3 linked regions of the Rhinolophus ferrumequinum genome follow. The protein of the gene in region 3 binds, or shares a complex with, the protein of the main gene of each other region. Links are inferred from orthologs where the notes say so. Each region holds a gene or a part of one and is shown on either strand. Other genes may lie near its edges.

The links. Proteins that work in one complex are often made in the same cells at the same time.
Region 1: CTNNA1 (region 3) and CDH26 share a complex: the UniProt entries of both Homo sapiens proteins name them as parts of the cadherin:catenin adhesion complex. The link is inferred for Rhinolophus ferrumequinum from reciprocal best matches to the Homo sapiens genes CTNNA1 and CDH26.
Region 2: CTNNA1 (region 3) and CTNND1 share a complex: the UniProt entries of both Homo sapiens proteins name them as parts of the cadherin:catenin adhesion complex. The link is inferred for Rhinolophus ferrumequinum from reciprocal best matches to the Homo sapiens genes CTNNA1 and CTNND1.

The regions. Positions count from the first base shown.
Region 1 is NC_046306.1:2,668,164-2,676,119, forward strand, and holds the start of CDH26 (cadherin-like protein 26), read right to left. Parts: upstream 3,006-7,956; 5' UTR 3,000-3,005; coding exon 2,916-2,999; intron 1,948-2,915; coding exon 1,843-1,947; intron 149-1,842; coding exon 1-148. UniProt on the Homo sapiens protein: Cadherins are calcium-dependent cell adhesion proteins. They preferentially interact with themselves in a homophilic manner in connecting cells; cadherins may thus contribute to the sorting of heterogeneous cell types.
Region 2 is NC_046294.1:11,450,629-11,457,933, forward strand, and holds the start of CTNND1 (catenin delta-1), read right to left. Parts: upstream 3,006-7,305; 5' UTR 2,768-3,005; intron 1-2,767. UniProt on the Homo sapiens protein: Key regulator of cell-cell adhesion that associates with and regulates the cell adhesion properties of both C-, E- and N-cadherins, being critical for their surface stability.
Region 3 is NC_046307.1:13,646,095-13,653,311, reverse strand, and holds the start of CTNNA1 (catenin alpha-1), read right to left. Parts: upstream 3,001-7,217; 5' UTR 2,982-3,000; intron 1-2,981. UniProt on the Homo sapiens protein: Associates with the cytoplasmic domain of a variety of cadherins. The association of catenins to cadherins produces a complex which is linked to the actin filament network, and which seems to be of primary importance for cadherins cell-adhesion properties.

The DNA.
Region 1 (7,956 bases), on a different chromosome or scaffold from region 3:
GCGTTTTCTCTCGATCAACAGGGCGGTGCACATATATTTTTCCATTCATATGATCTTCTATAGAAAATAAACCAATCTCTGGGTATTCATCCACACCAGGTCCACTGATGAAATACATTGACGTGTTTTCAGACATATGATTGAACAGCTGCAAGGAGAAAAAAACGAAGATGAGGATGAGAAAAAAAACACTATGCACGTCCAATATCAAGGCTCAGATTCAAAGGCGTTTTTGAAGAACCAGACTCAGCAATTGCACGTCTGAGGATTTATCCTAAAGAAATAAATGGATATACAAAGATGCAGGAACAGGGAATATGGTGGCAAGTTGGCTTTTAATGGTGAAAATGAGAAACAACATAAATGTCTACCCGTATGGAACAAGTCGTGTAACAGTACCCTGTCACCTAGAATGGGACTTGGCAGCTTTTCAGGGTGTATGTGAACGGCCGTAAAAACGGGTATGACACGTGGGGAAGCAGGAGAGGCGACCTGAAGGTCGGTGTGCATCGTATAGTCCCGTTCTGTTAACAGATTCACGTCAGTAAATGGAGAGAAGTGTCTGCAGGAATATGTACTGATTGTTAATACAGGGGATCCTTCCGTCCAGGTCGAGAGGCGTGAGGCACACAGCAAACCTTTAGAAAGCTGAGTGAGCCAGTTTGCCGTGGGGCTTCTTGCCGTCACCTGCTGAACCTGTGAAACAACCCTGTGATGCCAGCACTCTCAAGGGTGCCACTGGTGGGGAGCAGGTTGGGGCTCCCACGTGGGAAGGGTGTGCTACGTCTGGGATTCGAACCCATGCAGTCCCCCTGACGCGGGGAGTTTATACTTCTAACCCCTGAGCTTTGAAGACTTCCTGTAGATGTTTTCTTTCTAATAGTAGGCATATACTATTTTTATAAACATGGCAAAAATATGTATGATGTTTCAGTGTTTTCTAGGAATCAGAGAATGTCAGAGCTGTAGGGGACTCAGTACATAATTCAAAGGCCCATTGGGGTCAGGAAGGGAACGAAAAGGACCTGCATGGGGCAGGTGTGAAAATTCCAGCATTCCAACATCACCGAGTGTCTTCTCTGGTGCTTCAGCTGGTACTCAGCGTCCGAGCGAGGGAGACAGTGGGACGTCCTGGGTAAGCCAGGCCCCATCTCCTCCTTGCTGTGTGAGAATGCAGGCTCCGTGTGGGCAGAGCTTCCAATTTTTAGAAAGTCTCCAGAAGTGTAGAATTATAATACAATCTCTTCTTTTCCATTTTTAATTGTAAAATACACATAACATTCAATTTACCTTCTTCCCCATTTGTAAGCGTGCAGTTCAGTGGCATTCTGTCCATTCTCATTGTTGGACCATCTCATTGTTGTGCGACCATCACCACCCTCCGTCTCAGAACACTTTTCATCTTGTAAAACGGAAACTCTGTACCATTTAAACATTGACTCCCCAGCACCTCATCCCCACCCCACCCCCGGCACCTACTGTTTTACTTTCTTTTTTATTTTACTATCCCTTTTGCCCCCACCCCCCGCCTCTAGGGACTACAATCTCCTTATTTTTGAATAATGAATTTTTAAAAAATGACTGCATGGGCCAAATAAAAGAGGGCTGCAGCCTGGAAATAGCCATCGTGTTGCCACAGACGATTCTGATTCTCTCGGTGACACTCGCCCGGAGAAGTGGCTTGCCCACCGTCACGACGCGAGCCCCAGCCCAGGGCCTCTCCCACCGCTTCACTCCCTGGCCTCACCAGCACGCAGCCTGTCAAGACTTCGTCCTCTCCGGAGGGGCCCTGCCTAGTCAGAGAGGGTGATGGGGGCCGTGCCGTAAGCATAGCTGTCTTACCTCCCCAACAAACTTGGGGAAGGGTCCTGTGTCTTCCTCCTCCAGTTCCAAGGTGCTGATAATCCATCGTCTCTTGGATCGCCGCAGAGACTGGTGGCTCTCTCCCTGCAAATGATGGTGACAGTGGTGAGAAGGAGGTGGGTGGTGATGCTTGCCGGCACTGGGCTAGCCCTTGGGAGGAATTCTCTTTCTCATTCTCACAACAGCCTTCAATGCTGAGAAATTCCAAGTGCCTGTTCTCGTAATAACTCTGGTCGTTTCTGCATGGAGGGGCATCTGCCACCCAATGGTTTTACATGGTTCATGAAGTAATTTTAGGGGCTGTGCAGACAGAGCATTAACGAGCAGTACTTATTATGTGCTTACGCCTGTCCTGTGGTAGACATGCAAATAGCTGTTGAATGAATGAGAGAGTTATTCCCTCTCTATGTCTCCGTCTTCCTGAAATCATTGATGAGAACGTCTCCATTCAGTGCTGGATAGGTAACGCCTCTCTGTCTACCAATCTCCCTTGTAACAGAGGCAGAAAGAGACAGACTCAGACATTGGGCTCAGAGATTTGTCAGGCAAGAGAATATAGACAGACGTTAACAGGGTGGCTTTGTCTGTATTCTATTTATATATGTACTGTACAGTTGCCGTCTATTACAATTGAACCTGGTTCATAGCCACATTCATTTCTATCCAGAAAAATGTACATTTAAAAGAAATAATAACTTAGCTAGAAAGTGAGTTTATCACAAGAACAACAGGGAGGAAATGGTCCTAAGGTGGTGTGAGGATGGTGGTTGGTTTGCTGCCCCACACCCACCCGCTAGAAATATTAAGTCCACTGTATTTTTATTCCGTAAAGGAGCAAATGGCGTGGATAAACCTCTGGGCTGATTTTTGATGCTCGCAGATTGCTCATCCTGTAATTAGACATCAAAGCACCATCTGCAGTTCTCGGGCAGTCCCTCAAGATTCTAAAAGCCCACGTCTAGTTACTAATTCGTTTCCTGCCAACCAAACATCGACAGGGCACTAAAAAACGTGGAATTGCAATCCAGTCTCTAAGCAAAGCGTAGTCTCACTTGATTTATTAAGAAACTGACTTCCAAACCCGCCTGTGTTTGATTGGTAAGATCATCATTCTCTTGTTGGAAGCTGTTGATCATGTTGACCTTAAAAATTAAAATGGCATTAATTAGTGGGGAATATACTTATCAGAATCGGGTAGAAACTGCCTGAAGTCACACAGACCTTCTAGAACTCGAGTGGAAAAAAGAATGTCTGCATTTAGTTTGATAAATATAATTCCTTGTTCTTGACGCCTCCGTTCATCCTGTGTTTCCCCGAAAATAAGACCGGGTCTTATATTAATTTTTGTTCCAAAAGACGTATTAGGGCTTATGTTCAGGGGATGTCACCCCAAAAAATCATGCTAGGGCTTATTTTCTGGTTAGAACTTATTTTCGGGGAAACACGGTAACTACCACTTCTCTTCTGTAACTGCAGAACTGACAAAGGAGTTCTGATCTGGTGTTACCAGTGGTGGGGGCCTTTAAAACCATAACATTCTACTGTTACGTTAATTAACAAAGCAGGACAGTAAACTGTCCATTCAAGAGAACCAGAGACAGTGCCACTCTTCAAACTAAATGGAACTTTTAAAAACAGGGCTATTTTTCATAAAAATGGGTAATTATATTAACATGTAATGGGTTTATTCTTGTTATATTTAATGAATTGAGAGACAGGTTTAAAAATCCCCATCTGAAATAAAGTACCAGTAAATATAGCCCTCATAAGCAAAAGCTCTCTGGATTCTCAATAAAGTTTTCTCCCCCATCACATTATAGATGTAAATCTTTTAAAAGTTGTCCTCTTTGGACTAACTGCTTAAAATTGGCAAGGATGGGAAATATAAGGGCACTTACAAAACGATTTCAGCCATTATACTCGTAAGTTTCTAGTCTTTTTGCATCACCCAGACAAGTGAATTTCCAAGGTGTGCATACACAGAGGGGAAATCTCACACACACACACACACACACACACACACACACACACACACGCAGACATGTACACACAATGACGTGGAATTTCAGGCGTCTCCTGCAAAGTGTCGTCGTTCACCATCTCACACCTTTTTTTCAGCAGTCTAGCCAGGTCTTATGTAACTACCGCTGTGCCATTTATGTGCTATCACAGCAAAATAAACTTCCAGAGCTTTCGTGTTGAAAGGACTCTCAAAGACACCCTGTCTCACACCCTCATTTACCGAAGGAGAAACTGAGGCTGGAGAGGAGACAAAACCTCAGTGTCGTCCTCACCTTCTGCAGTCGACCAGCTCACCAGCTCTGTTGTTCTTGAATGAGGCGGTTGAGTGAATTAATCAGGCAGAGCATAAATGCTAACGTCTTATTAAGATAACTAGATTCAGAATTTTCCAGATTAAAAAAGCAGCAGCAATAACAATACTATAGCTAGAAAAACAGAAAGACACAGACATACGGACACACCGGCTCAGCCGTTACTGTGCCAAGCTCTTCCGTGCGTTTCCTCATTTACTCTCACAACCTCCAGGGCAGGTTAGTACAAATCCTTTTTCAGGGGAAGAAATGAGGCTTAACAAGGTTAGGTTAAAACCCTGATGCCCGGGTCACACCCCAGATCAGCTCAGTCTGAACCTCTGGGGGTGGCATCCAGATATTGGGACTTTTCCAGCTCCCTGGAAGAGTCCAACTTACGCCAATGTGAGAACCAAGGTCAAGTAGTTAGCCGAGAGCCTCCGCCAGAAGTGGACGAGCCTGGGTTAGGATGCTAAGCAACCCAATCCAGGCGCACAGCCTTCACCCCTACCACGCACCGCCTCCTGGGGGTGTTACAGGGGAGAACTCGACAGCAGTGTAACAACCCCAGGACTCTCCCTCCCCAACTGTAGAAAGCTGCTCACAACCAACAAGCGTGTGCAGTGTTAACTCCATCCACTAAGTACCAATGGAACAAGCCCTCTATTTCTCTAATCTTGATTCCACTGTCTCTATTTTCATTTCAGCAGTTGCAACTGGTAGGCTGTGTGTGTGGGTAGGGGTGGGGGTTAGTCATCCATCCTCATCGGTTTGCTCAAATTGTCTTGACAGTGTTATAAAAGAGACAATAGGCCCAAAATGGAGTCACACGTGCTCCACCCCACATCTCCAAACCAAGGTTTAATACCTAACTTAATTATGGTTTCAACCTCACCCAGAAATGGAGCCTTGAACCAATCTGTCTGGAATGACCGGCTCAGCAGTCGTGAGGTCGTCTGCCTGATAGACGCCCCCAACCCCCGCCACCCCCTAAGGGAAGGTGACCTTGCCAGTGTAACTTCCTTATCCCGCCCCCTTCTGCCTAAAATGCCTTTCATTTGTCCAGCTCCTCTGGGCTTCTTTCTGTCTGCTAGATGGGATGTTGCCCGATTCATGAATTGCTGAATAAAGCCAATAAGACCTTTATAATTTACTGAGTTGAATTTTGTTTTTTAACAGATTTGGTGGCAGTGGTAGAATCCGAAGGAAACTTCTGATGGCTTCAGGGACAAGAAACACAGGCACTAGTATCCCTGATCCCTTGGAGTTCTCTGTCTTTCTTGCCACTTCCGAGTGCTGTGGGTAAGTTCCTCTCGGTAACAGCTCCACTCTCTTTGTGTGGGCTCCCAGTCTAGTTGGCTTTCCAGTCCGGGATTCACGGGTCAGTCTGGACTGACAGAGGGCCCTGACAGAGTGCCAGTCCCCAGCCCTTGGTTAGCCCATGTCCCAGTCCAGGGCTTTGTGGATCAGCCTGAGCTGGCAGATGGTCCCACCAGAACCCTAGTCCCTAGCCCTTGGTTCACCCAAAGTCCCCATTTGTTGGGGTCGGCGGTTTCAGTCCACAGCTCCATGTTGGGAACTGCTGGTGGCATATACCGAAGGCCATTCCTTGGCCAGTCGCAGTGACGTCTCTCTGATTACTGCTGGCGTGTTGATGCAGTGTGCACATGTGGTGAAGTCTATTGATAATGGGAATCACATAAGCTCAAAGGCAAAAATGGGTCGGCACCGCTCAAGTGCATAAAAGCTGTTAGAGCGTTCATCACTTAACTCTAAGACTCCGAGTTGGCATAAGTTGGTCACACAACGAGTTAGATCGACACAGATCACAACCCGACCACAGGAAAATTTTCATGCCGTGAGGTATACATCACACAGTCCCCAGCCCAGGAACACATCCCTCTTAGGTGTTAAACTGGCTACAAGAAACCCAAGCTGAGCTAAAATGGAATCCTTACGTTCCAAAGAGTGGAGTGTGCCACCATCAGGCGCCTTTACTTATTTTAACTATGGTCCCAGGAGCTACAAACACCTACAAAAATGGCAAAATCTTTCTAAAGACAACCTAGAATTACAATGGCCATTACAGGGAATGTCCCAGTTAATCAAGATCGTTCACTAAGAAGTGCCTTGAAAGCAAGGGATCCCAAATCAAACCAAGAGAATGGGATATCTATTTTAATGGGTGTGCAGAAGCTTCCAGAAGCCTTCAACAGCCCCAAAGTAGCTTCACTGAAGAATCTGTTACAAAAGGCTAATGAAAAATTAAAGACACAAGAGGCACCTAAACCAAAGACCATAAGACAGACGTGCCTCGTGCCACCCCCTCTATCCTGTACCCGAGTCCTCATCCTCCCTCTGAACTGCCTTTCCCCTCAGAAGAGACCACTAAACAGCTGCCTACTAAAATAAGACGACCGAGACTGCAGGTGACCCCTCTCCAGGTATCTTTCACTCCTTGATCAAACACCAAACTGAGGGCCTGTGGTTAAAGAATAAGGGCCTGTGGTCAAAGAACTATGGTTAAAGAATTTTCTAAACCCAGGGATGGTCCCCCAAAGTTTCCCGAAGAATTGGGAGTCTTTATCGGGGCCTGTGACCCTGGGCTGCCAGGTCTTTACCATCTTATGCACGTGGTCCCTGGTCTCCCTTAAGTACCAGGAAAGCTTGCAATACAGCCGCTGAGCTTCTAAGAGATTCTGGACTCTTCTCTGTCCACAATGACTGGTGTATCATTCAGACAGGCAAATAAAAGGAAGGGGACTTTGGCTGACCTAAGGGCTTTCCAAGGCTCTCCTCCTTCAGCGCTCTGAGTCCCTTACATAAACGATGTCAGCCAGCCTGCTCTTGACTATAAATGGATTATCTCCTTATATTAATGGATTGATAAAAAGGCAAAAATAGGTTGGGAGGCCACCAGGATGACTGAACTTGTAACCACAGCTGAATACTTGGAAAGGACTTTGGAACAAGACCATAAACAAAAGTCTGCTCAGCTGTTAGCCGCTTAGCTGCACAGCTTCACAGCCAGACAACTGAACGAACACCTGGGCTGCCAGGTTGCACCCACCTAGGGGTCCATCGCCAAAATGCTGGCCCCCCCGAGGTCAGGGTCCCTTTCGTAATCAATGGGGATACTGGATAAAAGATTATCCTCAAATGTCTTGGGCAAATTCTTTCATGTCAACTCAAATGCTCCATGTCGGCCCCCAGGGGAGGCCCCACAGGGGTCCCTTTGAGAGCTGACAGGACTCCAAGAGGCTCTTGGTAAACTGCGGCCAGTAATTCCCTTACACAGTCAAGGGAAAACTAAAATGAAAATGAATGAGAAACTGCCAAATTCTGACAGATATCAGAGCTACACTCTCTACTTTAAACCCCATTCTTACAGGATAGCCAATTCCTTGGAGTGAAAAAGAAGTTTCCATAGTGGTGGTATCTAATAAAATTCAGAGAGTTCTGATCTCAGCCAGTACAAATACTCTGGGTCCTCTCACTGAAAACCACTCCTTTCTGCTGTGATCTGTATATATCAGGTAGAGATCTTTCTAAATTCAAAGGGCTAATACATTTTTGTCTCCAAGGGAGACCTCACCTTAGAATTTCCTAAGTAAACTGAACTTGATCTTTTATGTTCCTTATACCCTATTCTTGATATAGAAGAGGAAGAATCCCAGAGGGGAAAAAAAATCCCTAATTTAATCGACGTGCCTGGAAATGTGTGGGCTACTTTTAATATTGACACCGAGAGAATAAAAAGTGCAGAACCTACAAAATTGCA
Region 2 (7,305 bases), on a different chromosome or scaffold from region 3:
ACTGACCCTCTGCAAGATAAAGCACTCTGGCCTCTAGCAAGGGCTCATTTTAGTTCTGGATCTTTTTTCTATTCTCTCTGGAGAATGGCAGGGTATTAGTGGTTAAGTCCGTGGACTTTGTAGTTAGTCAGACCAGGGTTTAAGCCTAGCCTTGGTCCCTTATGGGCAATGAGATTTTCAGCAAACCTCAGCTTCTATGAGGCTCAAATTCCTTTAAAACAAACAAACAAAAAAAAACAACAACAGTTGTTGTGGGAAATTAAATAAATGGTTTATGCAAAAGGCTAAGCATAAAAAATGCTAAGCAGTAAAAAAACAAGGTGGGGAGGGCCTGGCAGTTAGTAACGGGGCCATCAAGTATCAAAATAGAAAGCAATAAATTATACAGAGCTAATCATTTTGTTATTCCAAATGAATAGTGATCTATGCTTAATTTATTTGCAGCCATCCTTAGGGAGCAGCTACCTCATAAACCTAAGTGAATTGCAATTACTTGGAGCTTTTCGTTTTTTTCCTAAGATTTCCAATAGTACCAATTTTTATACTACCTGAAAGAACATGTTCTAGCCCTTCTGACTCTCTGTAACTGGAACCCTAAGAAAGGCACTAGAACTCTAACCACCCACAAGAGACCCCCACCTGGAACACAGACCGTACATACCTTAGTCATATAACAAAGAAACCAACAGTATACAGGAGTCAAACAAGGAAAGAAAAATCTGCACAACTCATACTTACTAGTCATTTTTTACCCCAAAACCAAAAGGAGGAGCGAAACAAAAAAAATAAAAGGATGTACTTATTCGCATCCCTGACTATATTTCCTGAAAGAACTGGTAGAGGTGAGGTAAAAGACAATCTTCCATCTTATCATGCAAAAGGCTCTATGGTACATACCAGTCAAAACAATGCCTCAGTTCGGGGAAATAGTCCTGGCTGATAGTTAACTAGGATACTTACTGCGGCTACACAAAGCCCAATATTTAAAGCTGGACCCAAAGCACCACCACTCAGTCATCCAGAACCTATTTTCAAACTGCCTTTGTACTCCTTCTTCAGATTCCCTCATCCCTCCCCCTAAAGGTTGAGTAGGAAACCGACACTCTGGCAGCAACATGACCAACCCTTCAAAGATCCACCAAGAAACCTCTCTAGGCTGGAGTCAAGGCAGAGAGAACATTTGAAAGAAAAACTGGAAAATATTAAATAAGAACTATAACCCAACAGACTGTACACATTGGCTTTTTTTCTTCCTTTTTAACTGCACTTGCTATAATTATGAGATCCAGGTATTAAAATCTTACTGTAGCCCTTGCATAGATTATATTAGTTTAGTTTCCTGTGAAGCCACAAACTTACAAGTATGAAATCATCTTTCAAGAAATAATCTCAGTTCTAGAAAAGAAATTCAAGGAAGTGTTCTCGTCTAAAAACTGGGTTTAGAAGGGGCACAAAATCAGAGATTATAGGTAGATTCCAGTTTAAAGCTAATGAGCAGTTTACATATTAAGGCCCATCTTGTTACAATTAGGGCAGTATCTAATCCAGCTATAATTTTCAGACTGATTCGCATTTTCAAAGGGAGAAGGAAGAGAACACCCAGTTTTCAGCTACTGATGAGTTGGCTATGTAATTATCTAGAATCAGTATTTTTGCAAGAATGCATTTGCAAAAACAAATCTTAAGATTAAATGTAAAATATGAAAGCAGTCATGGGCCTTCAGCTCTTAACAGATTTTTGATTTTATAGCAAACAAAAAACTCACCTCCAAAAAAGAACTGTTTGTTTTAAAATAAGAACTCCCCTTGTGCTTTCTCAAATTCATTCTGAACACTAAAGTTTATATAAGTGTTTTCTCTTAGCCTAACCTTATTTAATCCATGGCCCTTTAAGAGAGCACAAAGCTGAAAATATTTTCAGGTGTATTGCCACTTAGGTGAACTAAAAAGCATGATTACAATTTCCTTATGCCTTTAAGCACATAAACCAAACACTTTCATATTTGCAGATTGAACATCCAACAACACATCTTGCCATCGAAGGTAGTTTTTAGAAGAAAAGGAGATAACAATTCATTTAACATGGATCCATCTGTTTTCTCTTATAAGGCAAAGCAGGGAGGCAACGTCTAGCAGGAGGATGAGGCTCCCACCCACCACACCTGGAAAAGTAAAAGAGGGATCCACCCAGGACAGCAGGGCTGAAACCGATCTGGGCCGTTCAAACTCTAGGGGGGGAACACCACCATTTAAGCTACAAAACTCCCTGCAACTTTTCGCTTCCACAAATCTAATGATAAAAGATGAAAAAAAAAGTTTTGAAACATATGAAGAGCCATATGTATAACTAGCTTCCGACCCGGACAAATTCCTTTCCCAACCCACACGCAACATGCCAAAAAAAAACCAACCTTTGGTTTAGGCTCTGAAAACAGAAGTTTGTTAGCTTAATCCAGAAAAAGATATAAAATCAAAGAACACACCAAATTGTAAATTTACAGAATTGCTCTCACCCTTCTGAATCTATTCATCGCCCTCTATTAGAGAGACCTAGAAGTTTGTTTCTGGGTCTTGAATATTTTACCTTTTTTTAATATAATACAATTCCCCAAAGTAAGTAGAAAAATAAATTAATAATTGCTTAAAAGTCACCCATTAACATAGCAGACTCTCGTCTTTAAATTTCCTCAGGTTACCGTAAGACAAAAATTCGACTTGGCGTATCCTCCTTTACCCGTCTGTACACATTTTTTAAAAAGGCACACACCTCAGATGTGGACTTCTAAAAACCAGTCCTTTAAGAAAGAAACCCAAGGCTTCGTCAATGTGGTGAGAAAGACAAATCCAGCAAGGTAGGTGATTTTTCACGGCCTCTTCCTCCTTTCAGGATCTTTCCTGGTCTTCTTTCTCTCTCTCCCTCTTTTTTTTTTTTCTCTCAGCTCCAACACCTAAAATGGAAGTTGCACCCAGCCAAAGGATAGGGAGCCTGGGTGGTGACAAACTGATCTGGCAGCCCTACCCCCTCGCTTTCCTAAGTGATGTCAGCCCCTGAGAACTTCCAATAGGAGCCAGGCATAAATCAGGGAGCTGATTTTATCCAATAGGAAACTTTATTATAGGAAATGGGGGGGAAGGAGAGAGAGGAGGAGACAGACAGGGGGAAGTTTTATATATATATTTATATTTAAAGTAGAGACCATACAATCTCTGAAGAATTACTGCAGAGCTCTGGTGGGGGCGGGGGGGTAGAAGAACAAGGGAGTTTTAGAATGGCCTGCCTAAGAATCAGTTCCCTTTGATGGTGGTGTTCTTGCTCCCTCTCCCTTCCCTTCCGGGTGGAGAAAGAGAAAAGAGCTGATTTTATATGCCTGCTGCTATTTGGTTTGTTGCTTTCTACCCCAAAGCATTCTCCCAAAGGAAGACAGGAAGGGTGGGAGAGAAAAATCCTAAAAAACAGGATTATTACGTGTTGATTGGGATGGTAGGAGATATCTGAGGTAAACTCTCAATTTCATTGTTTTGGTTTAATTGCATTAGAGCTAATTAGAAAAAATAAAGGTCTGCACTTGTTAACAGTTCTTAGCGTCTATACTTTCAACTAGAAGGAAGCTGAATCCACTGGGCAGTTAAGGCCAATCACTGTCTTCCCTTTTGCCCCAAATTAAAATAATATCGGTTTGAGGGGAAGGATAAATGGAATCCAATAAACAAGCAATACATTTAGAGGCGATAACAGCATGTGTAAGGAAAAGTCAGTCTCACATCAAGAATATTCGCCTGCATTGTGAACTTCAAGTTTAAGATAATCTAGTTCATACATTCTCTTTTTACACTTGACCTAAATTAAGGATTATACAGGTATTCTTCTGAGTAAAGAGTTATCTTAGTATGTTCTATACTGTTAGGTCATGAAGATCAGAGACTGGATTTTTTTTTTTTTTTACAAACTTAACAAAGACTAGTATTTTATGGTCATTCAGTAGTTACTAAACGATGATGGTAATAAATTGAAATTTTCCTTTTCCTATCTTACTGAAAAATCTAAAATCTATCCTGTAGACTGCTGATGAATCTTCATAAAGTTTTCATAATCTAGAATAGTGGTTAAGAGTATAGGTTCTGCAGGCAGACTACCTGGCTTCAAACCTTCCTCCTCTCTACACTTACTATGTGACCTTGGACAAATTATATCTTCTCTATGTGCCTCAGTTTCCTTAACTATAAAATGAAGATAATAACTATCTCTCTCTCACAGGACTGTTGTGAGCATTAAAATACACATAAAGTTCTTTAAACAATGTATGGCACAGTACAAACTCACTAAGAATGAGCTGTTATTATTATCAGTATCTAACCTGCCCAGAAAAGTTTCATTGGCTCATCATTGCCCAATAATAGCAACCAATGATGGAGAATCTATCACGTGAGAGGCACTTTGCACTCATTAGCTGTAACTTCTAAAACACCACCATAGAATACTATGACCACCATTTTCCAGATGAGGAAATCAAGGCTCACTCAGCAAGGGTAAGAAACTTGCCTGAAATCTGGCTAAGAAGTAAAGCCCTCAGCAATCTGACTCCAAAGTCCACGTTCTTTCCATCATCTTACACTGTGATCAGGATAAAGGCTAAGATCCTCATCTGCTTTCAAGGAGCCACATTTATTCATTCAGTATACTAAAGTAACACTTATTAACCATAATCTGACCTTTCCTTATTATCCAAACTGGAATTCCAATTCCACTCCTCCTCAGCATGAATGTGATTTTCTAATCAGGCAGATCTAGTCATTATCCACCCCCTCATATTTGGTCTATAGTCCCACAGACTCCATTAGTCTAAAGTGGCCAAAAAGGACTTCTCTCAGAAGTGCAGGAAGACCAAACAGGCATCACAGCAGTTGTTTGATGGGCTTTAAATGAACTAGAATGGGAAACGAATACATTCAACAGAGAAATGAACAGCCTTTCATTATCTACGAATCTTCCCGTATTTCCTTATCACATCTTCTACCTCTACGTTCCATCTATTCCTGCTCCTCCATAACAAATTCAAAAGCCAAAGATGATTGCCGAAGGAAAACAATCAGTACAAGAAATGTTTGTTGACTGGTTGGTTCCTAGATCAGAGCCATATTCTAAAAATTCTATGATTTTCTAGAAATGGATTGGTCTTGCTTCCCTCACATCACCACTAACAACTTGCAAGTATTTTGCCTTCCGTGTGTGTGTGTGTGCCTGTCTCCTCCATCAGAAGATAAGCTCTATGAAGGCATGAACAGTGTCTTTCTAGTAATAGTGTATCCCCAGAGCTGGTAGATTTCTTGTATACCTCAGAGATGGAAGTATCTCGAGAAGAAGCCCAGGATGAGCCCGTCAGCTCCGAGTATCTGAGCTAGAATCCCTTCAGCTAGAGGGTGGGAAGTTGGTGAAGGCCCCTCAGTGCAGAAGACTGAACCGGGAGTGCTTACAACCTCCAAGCGCTGCACCGATCTCTGCCAGGGTGGTGGCATCCAGCCGCCGCCCTCGAACGCCACTGCCTGTTACCCAGACTCCCTGTCCTCTCGGGGCAGTGAGGTTGAAGTCGTCGGGGGAGGAGGCGTCCCAGGAGAGGTGCAACCGACAGAACGCAGAGAACTTGTCTGACACTCTTGTGCTCAAGAGGAAGGCCAGAGCCTGCCCACCTCCACAGGAAAAAAGCTCTTCACCGTCAAGCCACAGTCAGGGACCTGAAGAGAGTGCGAGTGACCCTGTCCTTGGTCCTACGGTGCCCTCCCCCACCAACTTGTACCCCTCTGTGGATGAGGGACTATTGCCCAGAAAGATCAGACTGAGTCGTTCCAAGCCACCCCCTGATGTGTGTACGTCCAAGCCGGCCTGCATTTTAAGTGCACCCAGCTCAGCCTTATCTCTCATATTTCACAACAGATGAATGAGTGAATGAAGTCTCTTGGCTTACTAGTTATGTAATCCTGGAGGAATCATTTAACATTAATGAATTTGTAGATAACATTAAAAATAAAATCATATACAAATAAAAAAAGAAAGCTCAGTGGTGAAAAATTGTTAAAAATTAAATTTATCTGAAACAGCTATCTCCAAATAAAGCATCACGAGGATTAATATTCATTAGGGGAAAACTGTTTACAATCAGTTAATAGAAAATAAAAAGACTAGTTCCACTTGGGTTATTTTGAGCACCTACTGTGAGCCAGGTACTCTTCTAGTAAATGTCAAGAATTATGAGACAGACAAGTCTCTTGCTCTCAAAAAGTTACTTTCTAGCAGGGGAACAGAGAAGCTTAATAAATAAGATTTCAGATGGAGGACTATGCAGAGATTTAAAACAGACTGATGAGAATGACTCATGGTTTGTTCTAGATTGGACATAGGGACAAACTCTCTGGGGAGGTGACATTTAAGTTGAAATCTGAATGATAAGAAGTGGCCAACAATGAGAAGATATGAGCAATGGTAACTACTAATGTCAGAGCTCTCAAGTGTGGGGCTGAAATACACTGAATCCAGCAGAGCTGTTGGAAATGAGGGAGGGATAGACAGGAATCCGAATATGAAGGGTTCTTTCCATAGGTTAGAGAAAGGAGTTTTTATTAGGTAGAGAAAAGCCTGTGAGAGTTTTAAACAGCAGAATGACATGATCTAACTCATATTTTGAAAAGATCTGGCTACTAATGTGACAAATGGATTAAAGACGGAACAAAGTGAAAGCAAGGAAATTAGTTTGAAGGTCAAGTGACAGTGACATGGAGTTCACTACAGTAGCAGCAGTAAAAATGGAGAGAGGTCAATGGATTGAGGATATGTTTAGAGACACAGCACTGCTTTTGGTTTGGGTTTTTTTTCCTTCCTTTTTTGTTTTGTTTTGTTTATTATGCATTGAATATTACATTCAGTTGTTAGTTTTACCACTCTCAAAGTTTAACTTCCCTATCCACAGTCATCACCACTTACAAACAAAGAGAAACAAGAAACCATTAAATGGTGAAAGATTAAGGAAGAGCTGGAAAATAAAATTGTGTTTAAAAAAGAAATATTAAGATTATTATATAGGGCAGAGTGCTGAGCTGTGATGAATTTACTTCCAAAACAGACTAAAACAATAAATACCTAGGAGAAGAAAATTTTTAAAAAATATATTGTATGATTCCATTTATATGAAATATCCAGAACAAGCAAATCATAGAGACAGAAAGCAGATCTGTGGTTTCCAGGGACTGGGAGACAAGGAAATCACGAGTGACTGGTTATGGTTATGGAGTGAGAAGAAATTTTTTTAAAAATCA
Region 3 (7,217 bases):
CACTGGGATGGTTTCTTCCCTTTTGTGACCAGCAGCCTAACAGAGCCCGGTTTCTCTCTCCGTAGCCCTTTCTGGTTCCAGAAAACCTCAAGAGCTTCCCATCAAGTTACCAAGGCAACTGCAGCCCAGCAAGATTCACAGTGATGAGGGAAAGAGAGCAGAGACTGACAGCAGCCCCAGGACAGGCTGCCAAGGTGGGGGCACACATCTCAGGGTGAGCAGGGAGGCAGAAGCTTCGGGCCAGAGCAAACATCCCCTGCCTCCCCGTCCAGCCTGTTCCAGCATCTGTTTTCCTGCAGTTTTTGTGTTTACACAGCCTGGGTAGATGAGAAGACAGCATCAAAGCTTCCCTCACTGTCAGGTGGGGATGAGGGGTGCTTCTCCCACAGTTTCCCAGAATGGCAGATGTCACGGCTACTACCTTGAAAGGTAATGGGGCCCCGCCCATGGGCACCCTGCTTTTTTGGTTTGTTTTTGGTTTTTTATCTTTTTTTATTTTTTGTTATTTCGTTTGTTTGTTTACAAGCACCCTGCTTTTAAAAGCCAACGGAACTCTCTTCCATAACCACCCGCTGTCTCCATGATGGCCCCTTGGGAGGCAGTGTTGCTAAGGGATCCTGAGCACAGGCTGCTTTGGAATCAGAGAGAAGTGGGTTCGGCTCCTGCTTGGTCACTTTCTAAGACTGTGACCTTGGGCAAGTCACTTCTCTCTCCACCTCAGTTTCCTTAGCTGAAAATGGGGATGATATAATGAATTCCCAGGACTTCATAATATACACATAATGTGATTGCTCATGGATCAGTTTTTAAAAAAATAAAGCTGTTAAAATTTTATCATCATTATTACGATTTTAATTGTTATTGTCATTAAGTGTGTACCTCAGTTTACTCATCTGTAAAATAGGGATCATGATTTAATGGGTTGTTTAAAGATTATACAAGATAAAGCATGTGAAATGCTTAGACCAACCCCTTACCGTAGAAAGTGCTCAGAATAGGAGCTGTTATTATTATGATTTCTATATCCCGCTTCTCACCACAGGCCGTCAGATTCCGTATCAGGGAGCCATCACTGAGCTAGTCCAAACTCCTAGTTCCCTAAGCAGGAGGGGCTATGAAAATGAGGCTTCTGGGATGGTAGTGGGTGGGTGGGTGGGTGGGTAGGTGGGTGGGTGAGGAGTGGTCATTTCTAACACCTGTGCCAGTAAATTTCCAACTCACTTCTAGATCAGGAATGAGCCTGTGACTTCTGCCTTCCCTCACTTCCGTCTCAGGAGCCTGAGGTTCCCTTAGCAGGATGATGTCCCACTAACGCCCAGCACACTGGAGAAAAGGGGTAAACAGTCATTTAGAATGGAAAAGGTTTTGTCCCTACACAGAGGGCCAGACGCCAGGCTCGGGGAGGCAACACAAGAGATTGGATGAGAGGACCACATAGGCGGGGCCACAGTGACTCTGAAAGGTCTTTTCTTGGTCCAGCTGAGGCCTTATTTGCATAAGGAGACCTCAGATATGGCTGACCAACTACAGACTGCTCCCAAAGCCTCACCGTCTTCCTTCTTGAAAACACCAACATTCCGCCAGGGCCCAGTCACACTTCTGACCTTTGAGAACCATGAATAGCCTGCTCTGGGACGCAGACCTTTCCACATATCTGTGCCTCACTGGTCCAGTCACACCCGAATTGCACAGGTGGGTGTCCCAGGGGTCTCCAGTATGTGCCACAAGCTAAAGGGTGGGCTAAAACTGCAGCTGGAAGAACTTAGGGGAAACCTCGGGGAAAATGCCCTAGTTGAAAGAGCTGGGAGACACCTAACCTCTACAGCCCTAGAGACCTTGAAAGGTCATGACTCAGTGGGGGTGGGCTGGGGCTGTCAGGACCCTGAAAACACTGAGGGAGAGGAGGCAGTTCTCATGCCAGACCTGGCCAGGGCCCCCAACACTGTCCTTATCGTTCCCTTCCTCTAACCCTCCTCCTCCATAGTCTGGAAGACCTGCTGCCTTAATGTTCAAAGTAACCCTGAGGCCCTACAGAGCTGGACTTTAGGGAGAACCAGTGACTCTGGGCTCTGATGTCAGAAACCAGGTTCGAGGATAACTTGGACTTGTCCTCCCCCAGAATAAATGCAGAAACTTGGGCCTGTGCCCTCAGCTCTGCTGGCAATAAGCCTTTGTCTCCAGTCCAGAGAACCCAGCCTCCCCACTAGCACCCTGGCCTGGACTCTCCCCATTCTGTGAACAGACAGGACATGGAGGTACCAGAGCCAAAGGCCAGGCGTTTCTTCTGGGCACTGCATGCAGGCATCTTACCCTCCCTGTGCCCGTAAATCAATGCCCACACAGGCTCTGTCACTGGGAAGGAGGAATTCCTGAGGGTCGGTGCTTCAGCATGACTGGGTGGAGATGAGGACATCTGAGGGAGACAACTGGCAAGAAAACAGAAGTGGGGCCTTGAAAACAGCTGCTGCCCAGAAAGCCCTGGCTGTGTCAGCTACAGGTCAGGAAAGGACCACGTGTGTACCACCGACCTGCTCAGCACTCCATGCCTCACCTCATCCCCATCTGACTCGCAGACGAGTCCAGGAACAGTCACAGAGGACTGCGTCAGATCAGGGAGAAAGAAAAAGCCCCCCACCCCCACCCCAATTGTGAAGAACCTAGTGGGCAAGGCATGGGCCATAGCCACACAGATTCAACTGGAAGTCATTCTGAAGAAAATTCAGCGCCCCAAAGATAGCCAAACCAGGGTCAGCTGCTGGGGCTGGCAAGGGGCCAGGAGTTACCACTGGCCCCATCTGGCACTGGCCATGGAGCCTGGATGGAGACCTGCCCTACTAGCTGATCTCCCAGAGGCAGAAGTCAGGTTCCTTCTAGCCTGAGGAATCAGGGACGAGTCAGAAAAGCCAGTTTTCTCTCAAGTCTCTGTCTCTGCCTGCTGGAAAAAGATTGCTTCCAGCTCTCAAAGGGTCTGCCCTGCTTACCCTCAGATTGACACGTGGACAGGCAAAATTTCCAGTGCTCTCAGAGTCCAGGCTGCAGACAGCAGTCCTGAATCTTCTCCTGGGATGACTCACGAGTGCCCCCTGCTGTCTGGTTTCGCTGAAGCCCGTCGTGGGGGGAAGAAAGGAAGGAGTGTTAAACGCAGATTCCAGTTGCCCCAGCAAAAGGGGACACGCGTTAGGCTGCCCGCTTTATACACTGCCAGAGCCTAATCAGAGCTGAACTTCCCCAGGGGTCACCGAGGAGGGGAATGTCTAGAGAGCAATCCATCTGGGAGGACAACGCATGAGGGCCCTGCAGCCTGGCCTCCGGGCACCAGCCCGAGCTCTGATGAGGGCTCTCCAGGCTGCATAGGTCCCTGGCTTCAGGAGAAGTTATGTTCTGCGTAGCAAAATCCCTGCCTCCTCTGAGCCTCGAGAGAAGAGGCTGTTCCACATTCAGAGAATCATCTCAGTGAGTGTGCAGTGGGGGCTCTGCAGCCTTGTGAGCAAAGGAGAGACCCCACTTCTCCCCAGAACTCCCCCAGGTGCCAGTGGGACACCTCCAAAACTCCCACTGATGATACAGATTATAAGAGACAATAATAGCTGTTTGCAAAAGGACCTCTGGCTCCCTGTCTGCAGGTCCGTCAGGTCTCTTTAGCTCCAACAGTCTATGAGCCTATAGGATTCCACAGCCGGTCCTAGTGGTCGGCTTCTCTCCTCGCCACCCACTACTCCCCACTCCTAGTTCTTTCTTTCATCTGATTTAAATCCATCTTGTTACATGCTGAACAATGGCAGCTAGTAGAAAGGGTCTTTGTCCAACACTTCCTATTTTCAAGTTCAGAGAGAGAGAGAAGAGACAGGACACTGAGAAACCAAGGGAAGAGGAAGAAGCAAGAATGAAGAATAGAGAGATAACCAAATATTAGGTTGGTGCAAAAGTAATTGCGGTTTTTGCAATTATTTTTAACCTTTTAAACCGCAATTACTTTTGCACCAACCTAATAAAATCCAAATAAACATCTGAGGAAAACCATCTGACTGGCTGGAGAGGTGGGGAACAAGCCTCCGCAGTCTCTCGTCATGTTCCGTCTAATCATTTCATAGCTGTATGTCTGTGCTCGCATTCAATGTAGGAGTGAGGGCACACACACACACACACACACACACACACACACACACACAGATTGTGGGGAAGGCCTGTCTGTGGGGGCGGGGGGGCAGCAGTCCTCTCTTAACCCAGACAGTTCTGCCCCCCACCTGCATGATTATCTTCCCTGCTCACATCCCCCCACCTCCCAGCCTCCACGCTTTACAGCACTAGGTCCGTGTGCTTTCAAAAGAGCTCCTCCCTGAGTGCCACCTTCAGGAAGTGCTGCGCTGCTCCAATGAGGAGATGAAAGGGAAGAGCGCTAGTCCTCTTCTCTCCAGAGCACTACCCCATCAAACAGCCCCCCTGCCCCTCTTTCATCACTGCCAACAAAAGCTGCAAAAGCAGCCCTCCTCACCCTGAGCAGTGGCCTGCAGGGGGTGGGGTCAGCAGGATTCCCAGCAATGCCAACACCCTCTGCCTCCCTTCCCTCCACAACTGAAAAACAAACAGGAAAGCCCTCCCGGCCCATCCCTAAGGCCACTTTGCAGTCACCCCAGGTTCCCAAAATCCCTACCCAAGCTGCCCCTAACCCTGCCCTCCCAAGGGAGCCTATATTTCTCAGACCTTGGAAGTCACTCCAGGATATCTCACCCTGAAAGACAAATCTGCTCTTGGAATGCAAGGAGACAGTGATGAATTTGCCCACACTCTAGCAAGCTACTTCCATTAACTCCTATGTCCAAATAATTTCTTTAAAACACCAAGGATGAGGTTGGGGGAGGGGAAGGCAAGTCCGTGACATCAATCTTCCATGGGGATTCCTCCTTCAAACCTGGCCAGGTCTGGGCAGGAGAAAAGCCCTGCACACACACAACACACCTACTCTGGGGGCTTCTGGGACAAAGCAGTGGAAATGAGACCTCACCTGCTCACCTCCACCTGCAGCCTCACAGTGCCTCCTCTGACCTAAGTTATTTTCCACTCACCCCCCCTTGGGTCCCTGGATATGGGCTCACAGAGATATGGGCTCACACACCCCTTCCTGGGTGTTTCAGGGCTCTGGCTGCTCCTGGGCAGGGTGGAGCTGCCTTGGGGGGGCACCCTGTCCCCTCAGGCAGACAAGAGCAGCTCCTATTTGACCAGCATCCAAGGGGACCCAAAGGGAGAGGGCATGAGAAGGAAAACGAAGATCTGTACTGCAGTTCCAGGTTTACTCATTCCTTCTCAAATTACCCTACTTAACACTTCATTTTACAGATGAGGAAGTGGAGACTCAGAAGGTTCAACTTGGACTGGACTTGCCCAAAACAACCAGCTAGAAAAGGGACAGATCTGCGTCAAGCATGGGTCTCCTACGTCTAAAGTCTACTTCAGGGAGATGACTTTCTGGTAGGCAAGGGGGCCCGGAAGCAGGTGACATTTCAGTCGCTAAGTGTGCCCACCTATGCTTGGCTTTGGAATACTAAATCATGAACGCAAGCCTACAGTTCTAGCCCCTGCCCTGCTTACACTGTCTGCTTCCAAGCCAGCCTCCAGCTGGAAGGTTTGTACATCTTGGGGATGGGCCAGCTGGGGCCCAGAAGGCAGAAGGGACAGAGAAGGGAAATTCTGGCATTTCTCCAGGGCTCAGGAGCACGAAAGGGGATGACAGCTGGGCAGACGGGCTTGAGCAGGCCATGTGGGAAGGCTGGGCTGCGGGAAACTATGGGCACAAATGGCCTGGCTGAAACAGGGCTTTGCCCAGTTGGCCACCTAGCACTTCTCCCTTCCTCCATTCTCCCTGTCTCTCTGCAAATTGCCTGCTTCAAATGTGATTCTTTCCAAATGAGCCCCACACCTCCCAGGAAGGGCCTGGCACGTGGAGCGATGCTGTGGACTGATTACTGACATCCTAGCCTTCTTCTAGCAGCAGCAGGCTGGGGAGCTGGTGGCCCAGACCACAACAGGAGCAGCTTAGGATGTCCTGTTCCAGCAAATTGGAGAAGGTTCCCCATGGCTCAGATCTGAGGTTGAGGAGCCAAGATGGACAATGAAGGAAAGAGGAGGCCCCCAAACTCTTGCCAACCAGCAGCTTGTTGGTGGCCCGGAATACAGGTGCCCATATGGGCTCTCCCTGACTGGAAGGAGAAAAGTCAGCTTTGTCTAGTGCTGTGAGTTTGATGGCTGTTGAGGCTCAGTGCTGAGGTCCCCATTAGAGGTACTCAACGTGTCTCAGGCCCTGGAGTTCCCAGAAATGAGGGGAGTGGGAGCATGAACCAGTCACTGGCATTTGCTGGATCCTTCCATGCCTTTTAATAGCAGAAACTCCTCTCCTCTCTCAAATGTTTTGTGGGGAGAGGCGGGTATCTTTACCTCCCAGCATCTTGTAGATCTGCCAGTAGTTTGAGTTATCTAGTAGGACCAAAAGCATCATGAGATGTCAAGAGGGGCAAGAGACAAATACTTCAAGATTGGATTCAGGGCATAGCCTCCTCTCTGAGAATATTACCTGGTTACCCTTAAATGAGGGCACCCCACATACTCCATGTGTAGATCAAAGCCACAGAACCCGAAGTCTTCCAGGGCAGCTGCAGAAGTAGCAGCCAACAGAGAACCAGAGAGGCTTACAGCTCAACAGTCCTCAGGGATCCCCTAGATTCCAGGCCAAAGGCGCTCACCACCTGTTTGGTGACAGAATAAAGTGTAGGTTTGGGATTTTGCAAGGGGAAGCAGGTGATGTGGGAGAAAGACTCTCACGCATTGAGAGGTGCTCAATAAATGCTGCGTGAGGGTCACTGGTACAGGAATGTTCTCCCAAAGGAACCCTCTGTCCTCTGATGTGAGGAGAGAGCAGGCTAGAGTAGGAGTGGGGGGGGGAGGGGGGGAAGAGGGGTGTCTTGCTATTTCACCAAAGGTGATCAGGTGGCCTACTCGGGTGTCTCTACCAAAATGAAGGTAGGAGGACAAGTTACCATGAGATGGGCCTCCTAACCTGGATGAGTCATTCTCAGGACACCTCTGAGCCTATCTGGGCCCTGACCTTTGTCTAGATGCTTCCTCTCCAGCGGAGGCTTAGAAGCTGCTGCAGACACTCACAACCCCACTCTTCACAGCACTGGCACTAAGGAACCTGATTAGCAGAGCCCCATGCCAGGCTGCTA